2 linked regions of the Caenorhabditis elegans genome follow. The protein of the gene in region 1 interacts with the protein of each later gene in a pairwise test. Each region holds a gene or a part of one and is shown in the gene's direction. Other genes may lie near its edges.

Region 1 (5,209 bases):
ACCCCTGTCAATTTAGAAGATATGCATCTTTTAGATGAAGGAACAAAAAACCCGCGAAAACGTGGTGTGAATTATTTAAAACTCTTTTTCTCCCCCTCTCATTTCTTCACTCTTTTTCTTCCCAAATCCGTCCGGTTTCCATTTCGCCGTACGTTGACGGTGGTGAACGGTGGAGAGACTTGTTCAGTGTTCTAGATTATATGGTTCGATAAAAAGTACAGTTTTGAATACTTTCCTGTTTTCCATGTATATTTATCTTTTTTGGAATGACACTTTTACCGAATTTGACACCTTCGGATTCTGGTTTTGATGTATTCAAAGTTTAATTACAGTTTTTCTGATTTTCCTTGCCCGGCAAAGTTTGAGTTTTTATTCCAACAATAATTCCAGCAAATGATACTCTTTTCTTGAAACTGGAAAAAAAATCTTGGAAGCTTGTTGAAAAGCTATATAACTCAAGCCTTTTAATTTTTGCCGACTATCGAGTTTTCTGAAATTTTCCTTTCCTCACAATCAGTGGTAACATTTTGAAATAAATGTACGCTAGGTTAAAAAAATATTTTTTGAAATTGAAAAACGTAAAACTTACCATAAGGCCCATTTGTGAAGTGGCAGCAAAAAAATGTTGTGCTATTTACCAGACAATATGCTGCAAAATGCAACAAAAAAAATCAATTACATAATTGATTTCAATTAAAGCGATTTCATTGAACGAGCATATTTTTCCTTTTGCGACCACATGTTTTGAATAAAAATCATTTATTGAATTTAATTGTCAATAAACATTAAATAGTTGTGTCCAGAAGCCATGCTATTACCCATAAGCAAAATTTCACGATTTTTAGCCAACAATAAAGTGCCCGGTCTCGACACAACAAATTTTTGTCAAAAGCGAGAAGGTGTACTGTGATTCAAACTCTCTTTTCTACACAGTTATCATCGATTTTTCATAATTTTTCGTTGAAATTTTTAGACCGAGTACCGTAGCATCGAAAATACTATGATTAGAAATCTGAATTATTCCAATTTCAAATGAGAATTCTAATGCTCTAAACCTGCTCCATAAGCTCATCTACTCCCCCGTAAATTGAATATTTTTCTTATTTTTTTAAAAAATAAGAAAACGAATGTAATAATCCTGACACCACATTGCCGACTGCACAACCGAATCAAATATTTTATTCCTCTCTTCTTTTCTTCTTTGAAGAGCTCATCATCTCCTACATATTTCCTTCCTCTGACGTCTCCAAGTAGAAAAAAAAAGAGTTTGCCTTCTTTTCCCAAGAAGTTTTCTTCCAACTTTTCTCCCATTTCTCATTACTTTTTCTATCGGCTCGTCATCATTTGACGACCCCAACTTATCAATGAATTTAACACTGATAAATGCATTTCCACGTCGTTCCTCGGTTTTCCATTTCATTTTTCTTCGTTTTCTCGTGACTTATAAGCAATGTTTTAGGGAATTAGGGAATGTCATCCTTGAAGGTTTCCAGAATAAAAACTGTCTAGTTTTAGATTATATCATAATTTGAACTGTAGAAAAAATTTCCAAATATCTACTTAATTTACAGAAGTTATCTGGGACACTCTCCACGTTAACAATAATCTCAAATAGATATACTCCGTTCCTCTAATTATTGAATTTTTTAAAAAACTAATTCTAAATGTTTACTCTTATATTATATTTTTTGGGAAATTGCAGTTTTTGCTTTGTTTGCTCTTTATTTCCCACAAAAACTATCATAAAAACTCTCTCTCTCTCTCACTATGCTTCATGAGATTGTTTTTAAAGTTTAAAGTTTTTTATTTGGAATTTAAATTTTTAATATTTTCACACACATTATATTTTTACACCTTGAAACGTCCGTAATCTTCAATAATTTCAGTTGATGGCGGAGGAAGAAGAAGTGTCGAGTGACGATGTGCTTATGGAATCGCGGCCTTCTCTCGTTTCAACGAGAGCCGCGCATCTTTCTCCAAAACTTCAGAGAAGAGGATCCTCATCTGCACGAAAATTCGGTAAGTATTTGAAGAAAACTAGGTCGGTGATGAAGGATACAGCGGTGTTCGATCATCGATCGTCATAAGCTTATCGTAGAGTGTATGTGTGACACTGACCTCTGTTGACCCGCCCGGTGGATTCAATTCTACTATCTGTCCGATGTATCCAATTTAATCTTCCGTTTCTCGTGATGTTTGTGTTGCTATTGACACTTTAAAAAATTAAAAAGATCAGACTAAAAATAGGAACAAGCAAATTTGATAATGATGAACATAAAAGTAAGAGCTCAAAAAATAATTTCTCCACGTTAATAACTTTTTCTCTAACTGTAACAGGAGTGCGCTCACTAAACTTTTTCGAATTTCCACCACGATTGTCTACTTTTAAAAAATGTCCTAAAAAGGTGGCAATCACATCTATGTTCAAAAAATCTCTAAAATAGCACAACTAGCAAGAAAAATATTTCAGCTCGTTTTTAGTTCCAGATGAAACTTATGTCTTTTAAATGTGAGTCTTGAAATATGTCATTACAAAACATTACAGTTCTTTGGCCTGAAAGAATTTTGCAAAGATTTTTGTCAAAAATTTTCAGAATGACCTTTTCTAATTCAATGTGCTCCTTTGTTGCCAATTTTTAAAAGTAACCTATTGCCAAGGCACTCTTTCAAATGATATAGGTTTTATTTAGAATTCTAAAAATATGCTGAAATACTTTCATGGGAGCTGGATTTTTTGCCCGAGCCTTTTGATGCATAGTGTTTTGCACTTTTTATTGTGAATTCTGCAATGTCACCTGATTAACTATTGTGGCGTTTGCTTATGGAAACCGGAGAAAACTAAAATTTCATTGAATGACGTAAGTCACATTTCAAATTTATTCTCACCTTTTCTGGAGTGCACAAAAAATTACATAGGCAATACACTTTTTTTCAAATTTGATGTCCTTTTTCTTTTTGTTTTTCAAAGCATATTTGAGCTATAAAACTTGACCCGAACCTATAAATTACCACTCATCATCGGGTTGTTATCTCGTGTCGGGTTCATCGCAATAACATACATGAAGAATATTGAAAGAAGGTCGTCTCTCGAGTCAGTGAGTGGTGTCTTCTAGTAGTGCACGCCCGGTACCACCACCGGTCAATGTGTTGTTGCCGTTGCCGACGACCATTTTCCGCGCATCTCATCATCTCCCCCTCCCATGGGCCACCTTCCACGTGTTGTCTGCGTACCCTCACCTTCGAAAGAAATGCCAACTGTGAATAACAATATCGTTATGTTGGAGAAAGGACAGGCCGGCACTGACATACACTCACACGCGAGATTTTCGTTAGATCACTTCGGAGTTGTCTGCGTGTTTTTCTTTTTATTTCTATGCTTTTGAGGTAATATGAGACATTTCAAAAAAAAAAATAGAGAATCATCAAAAAAGTGATGAAGAGAATTTGGCAGAGTGAATCGAAAAACTACTTCCGGCTTTTTCTTTTTTTCCCATCTATGTTTTCATTTTTAGTCAGCTGCTTTTATAGTTTTCGTATTTATATTTTTTGTGCTTTTCTTTTCTCTTGTAACCCCTTTAAACTTTTATCAGGACCGATGGAAAATAATTTTCAAACTGTCTGATTAAAATACTTTTTCTCAAATTATTTTCCTGTTGAAAAAAAGAAAGACTCGAGATTTTTTGGTAATATTATTTCCGATTTGATCAATAATCGGGAAAAAACTTTGAAAAAATGTTCCGTTGGAGACTCCCCATGAACATATTTTAAAAGTACATGTGGATTTAAAACAAGTTTGCAGGTTTTTGAAACACACATTTTGGAACTTTATTTTTAAAAACTCACAGTTAGCAAGAAATACAATTTGCAAATTTTTTCTGCAAGTATAAGATTTTTCTAAATTGGAAAAAAAATACCTGAAGCTGCAAAACTTTGCTGTCAGGTGATATTTTATTACCAAAAAGAAAAAAAAATCAAAAATGTTTGAGGAGTAATTTTTTAAAGTATTAAGAGAATTGAAAGAATTTTGTGAATATTAAACCATTTTCCCAGTTTTTTCGCAGTGAAAGCTGATAGTTTTAACGCCATCACATTCATTTTTTTTTAAAGTTTCTCGGCAAAATGGCCTAACTTCGTAGCATACTCTTGCAACTTCTTAACAACCATTAGGCATTTTAGCTTTTAAGCAAACTTCTGCAGCTTTTCAGACGACTTTTGCAATTTTTTAGCAGATGTAAAGCTAAATTTCGCTCACAATCCCGTTGGTTTTCGCAACTTCTTAACAGCTTTTTACAAAGTTATATGAATGTTTTTATTAAGTTGCAGGAGATTGCTATGAAGTTGCGACGTTTTGCCGAGTTGGAGTTAACATAATTTCTGATGTGTCTAGTTGGGTAGTTCAACTGGTCAACATCATTTTCATCCCTGTCATTCTCAAAAAACGGAGCACTACCCTTGATCTAACCTAACCCAAAAAAACTAAACAAACAGTGACCCTGGCACGGCTTGCTCCTAAAGCAAACCCATTGAGCTTCTCCCCAATTTTTTCACAGTTAGTTCTCCTTCTCGTCCCTTCTTTCTCAATTCCACAGCGTGACCATCATCACTAGCCCAATGGATCCACGCCCCATCTACATCATACAGGGGGCCGACGACACCGAATCCAGTTTCAATTCATGGCTATTGCTGACTGCTTCTTGCCCTCATTTTCCTCTTTGCTACATGCCACATTCTCTCACTCTATGTCCTCTTCGGTGTAGGCATCGTCTCCATCGTCGTACAGTTGGACGTTGATGACGATGAAGACTAGGGGCATTCAAAAACTGGCCAAAGGCATTGAATGATGAAGGACAAGAACACCTATATGCTTCTGTAAACATCGATGCTTTTGTAAATTTTATGTTTACGCACCTTTTGTCGCCTCCCCCACACATAAATTGCTATTTTCGGAATGTTTCTTCTGACCTCCTACAATTGTCCCATCAGGCCGATTCAATTACACATTTCAATCTAGTCTTATTATTGATTAGACACATCATCACATCCTCCTCTTCCGTCCCTGCTACTTCCTTCAAAACATAAACTTTTACGACTTTTTTTTCTTCTCTTCTTCTTCTTATGTCTTCTTTTTCTTCTTCCAGACGATGTTGGCATAACCAGATTTTGCCACGTATGCACTCACACATCTATCCGATCAACCATCTCGTTATCC
Region 2 (3,717 bases), on another chromosome or scaffold:
CAATTTTTCTGGCTAAAATTTTTCGATGACTACCAATAAGTAGCAGATTTTTATTGACGTTGAGAATTCATTCCAGTATCTTTTTCCTGTATTCTCAATCATTCTTCTTATTATTTTAGTTATAGTTTTTCTATTTTGCAGATATTCTGATAGAATTCCAACGAAACCATTGCTTTGTTTTTTCCGCGTGGTTTTTGTACACTTCTCTCGTTAGTGACCCTGTCACAACTAATTTTAATTCCAGTCAACTACAACACGATGGCTGACCAAAAGGAAGCATCCGAAGCAGCAAAGAACCGCGAAATCAAGATCTCGTCTTCGGATGATGAAATCTTCTTGGTAAGCTGAAATTCGTTTGTTATTGTCATTTTTATCTGAAAAACTAGGCTTCGGGTCGATAAGACGCTTTCGCAGTTCTTATAGAAAATGTTTAGTAGCCTAGTTGATTTTTAATAAATCAACAAAAAAAGCGGCACTGTACGCTAGATGGCATGGGAAAAATTGCAATCTGAACTTCCAGGTCCCACGCAATGTGATCCGTCTCTCAAACACTCTCAACACTCTTCTTGTGGACCTCGGGCTCGACGACGATGAAGGAACCAACGCTGAGCCAATTCCAGTGCAAAACGTCACTGCCTCGATTTTGAAGAAGGTTATCAACTGGTGCACCAAACACCAGTCCGACCCAATTCCAACTGAAGACAGTGAGAAGAAAACGGATGGTTCCATCCAAGACTGGGACAAAAAATTTCTCGATATTGACCAAGGAACCCTTTTCGAGCTCATTTTGGTAACTTGTTATTTTAGTTGCAATATTTTAAATTCCTATTTTCAGGCTGCCAACTATTTGGACATCAAAGGACTTCTTGATGTCGCCTGCCAGTCTGTCGCCAACATGATCAAGGGAAAATCTCCAGATGAAATTCGTCGTGCTTTCAACATCAAGGACGACTTCACTGCAGAGGAGAGAGAGCAAATCCGTAAGGAAAACGCCTGGTGCGATGATTAAATCTCCATCTTTTCCCCTGTTAAACTTTCAATTACCTTGTTTTCTAAATGTTTCACATCATCCACCATATCTTTCCCCTTATTAAACGCACTTTTTAATTGTTAACAAATTTCTTCACTGCCAGCTGACACAACTGTGTACAGTTCTGTTTTTCATTCAATAAAGTTGATGTGAACATGAAAATTGCAAACAATGCAATTGGTTTTAAAGCCACAGCAATAGTATTTTTTAGTCTGAACAGGACTATAGATCCTTCACTTTTGAAATGGAAGATGACGAGATGTGAAATTCTAGGCCAAAGTTGCTTCGTTTTCCGCGCGCGTAGATTTCGAAATAAATAAAAAAACAATACTTTTCTCAGTTTTAAAAGCTACGGATCGTGTGAATGAAAATTACTTTCTGTGATTAATTGCGAATGGGGTTATTCAAGTAATGTATTTACATGACTTTATCGCATATTGCGCCTGACGCTGCTAAATCCCCGCATTTAACTGAAAGTTGCGATATCTTTAAAACGAGATCTATTTTTTCCATTTCTTTCATTTTTTTTTTCCTGATATTCTCCTTTTTCTATCTATCAAAAATCGAGTGCCGATATTCGCTGAAAAGACTATATTATGTACGCCGTCCGCTCTCTTTTTAATTTTATATAATTAAAAAACATTATCTCTGAATATCTGCAACTCGAAATTTAGTAAATATACCGTTCCTCCATTATCTTTCTAGTATTTTTTTAAAGACTTTGTCCATCCAATAAATTGTCATATTTGTCAATTCGTTCCCGCATTGCGTTCTATAACGATCGATAACTCTGCGTCTCTTCCTTTGTGTGTACACTGTTTCCTCGCTTCTCTACACTGTTTCCTCGCTTCTCTCGCATCATACGACACACTCACATTCTATTCGCTCATTTCTCAACGTTCTCATTCTATTTTTCGTTGTTTTTCTTTGTTTTGCAGGTATTTTGCGTTGGAAAATTTAAAACTTTTAATTTTTCTCGATGGAAATACTCTTAATCGTTCTTTTTTTTTTCTACCTGTTCTTCTTTATTATTTGTATGTAATCGTTCTTTTCACAATAATTTCTCAATTTCAATCGATTTCAACGCGATGGCTGATCAAAAGAAAGTATCCGAGGCGGCAAAGGAACGCGAAATCAAGATATCGTCTTCGGATAACGAAATCTTCTTGGTAAGATTCAAATTATTCCTTCGTTTTCGTTATTTTTGTCTAAAAAAACTAAATCGATAAGCCGTGCTGCATGCATGCGCGCGTAGAGTTTTGCTTCTTGGTATCCTAGGTGATCTGACTTATAGAAAAATAGACAATGTTAAATGTTCCACTATATTTGAAAATTCACAAACTAAACTTCCAGGTCCCACGCAATGTGATCCGTCTCTCAAACACTATCAACACTCTCCTGATGGATCTTGGACTCGACGACGAAGAAGGAACCAACGCTGAGCCAATTCCAGTTCAAAACGTCACTGCCTCGATTCTGAAGAAGGTCATTAGTTGGTGCAACCATCATCACTCCGATCCTATCTCGACTGAAGATTCCGATAACCGCGAGAAAAGAACTGACGACATAGGCAGCTGGGACGTCGAGTTTCTTAAGGTTGACCAAGGAACCCTTTTCGAGCTCATCTTGGTAACTTGTTATTTTAGTTCCAATATTTGAAATTCATATTTTTAGGCTGCCAACTATTTGGACATCAAGGGACTTCTTGATGTTACCTGCAAGACTGTTGCTAACATGATCAAGGGAAAATCTCCAGAAGAGATTCGTCGCACTTTCAACATCAAGAACGACTTCACCCCGGAAGAGGAAGAGCAAATCCGCAAAGAGAATGCCTGGTGCGAGGATTAAATTACCCTTCAGTTTGCCTATTTCTCTATTACATTTCTAAACGACATGTCGCTTCCTTCCCCTTCACACTTCACACATTGTCCTGATATGGTCTCTGTCTATTTTTTACATCATCTCTGGCAGCCCAAAAACTTCTTCCTTTTTTCACCTAATTAAAATGCATCTTTTGAATTTTAACCGCCATTCTATATTTATACCTATAAATCACCGACCGGCAAAAATTATGCAGTGTGAGATTCTCACACATTTCCTCCAATGAACATCAGTGTGTCCTTTACGTGATTGTACATGCCTAAAAATAAAGTTGATGAGACGATACAAAAAACAAACGATTTATGTAAAACATTGAAAAAAATATAACCCGTGAATGTATTTAAATTCTGATATGAAAAGTTCTAATGAAGTCAGGTGATCGAGAGACAACGTGTTCAAATTCTGCGAAGTTTATACTCGAGTCTCCATCCAAATCAGCTTCTTCAATAATTCGTTCAATTATAAATTCAACTTCTACATCACTCAGCTCATCTCTTGTTAAACTTCGAATCATTTTACTCAAATCATCATGTCCAAGAAGTTCATCTCCATCGTAATCTAAAACAATATTTTGATACTAAATTAAATATTATTACGCAGACCTCTAAGGACCGCTATTGCAATATAATTTTATCAGATATAAATGCAAAATTTATGTCATGATTGTTAAAATAACAATATGATATAATACAATTTATTTACGCGAGTTACAGTAACCCGTTGCCGGAATGGCGAGACGTTGCGCGTAAATTGTGGTGAAAATTCGCAACTATGGACGTCTACGTAATAAGAACCATATAACTTTT

The links.
Region 2: the proteins of dre-1 (region 1) and skr-1 interact in binary tests that used the Caenorhabditis elegans proteins (3 or more experiments, as listed by UniProt).

Annotation. Positions count from the first base shown.
Region 1 is NC_003283.11:6,543,172-6,548,380, reverse strand, and holds the start of dre-1 (F-box domain-containing protein), read left to right. Parts: upstream 1-1,889; coding exon 1,890-2,019; intron 2,020-4,609; exon of another isoform or gene 4,610-4,815; intron 4,816-5,209. UniProt on the Caenorhabditis elegans protein: Substrate recognition component of a SCF (SKP1-CUL1-F-box protein) E3 ubiquitin-protein ligase complex which mediates the ubiquitination and subsequent proteasomal degradation of target proteins including blmp-1.
Region 2 is NC_003279.8:9,469,446-9,473,162, forward strand, and holds skr-1 (Skp1-related protein), read left to right. Parts: upstream 1-2,104; 5' UTR 2,105-2,118; coding exon 2,119-2,199; intron 2,200-2,383; coding exon 2,384-2,659; intron 2,660-2,704; coding exon 2,705-2,878; 3' UTR 2,879-3,200; downstream 3,201-3,717. Other genes in the region: skr-2 (Skp1-related protein), read left to right, coding at 259-339, 521-790, 836-1,009; calm-1 (EF-hand domain-containing protein), read right to left, coding at 3,252-3,469. UniProt on the Caenorhabditis elegans protein: Probable essential component of SCF (SKP1-CUL1-F-box protein) E3 ubiquitin-protein ligase complexes, which mediate the ubiquitination and subsequent proteasomal degradation of target proteins.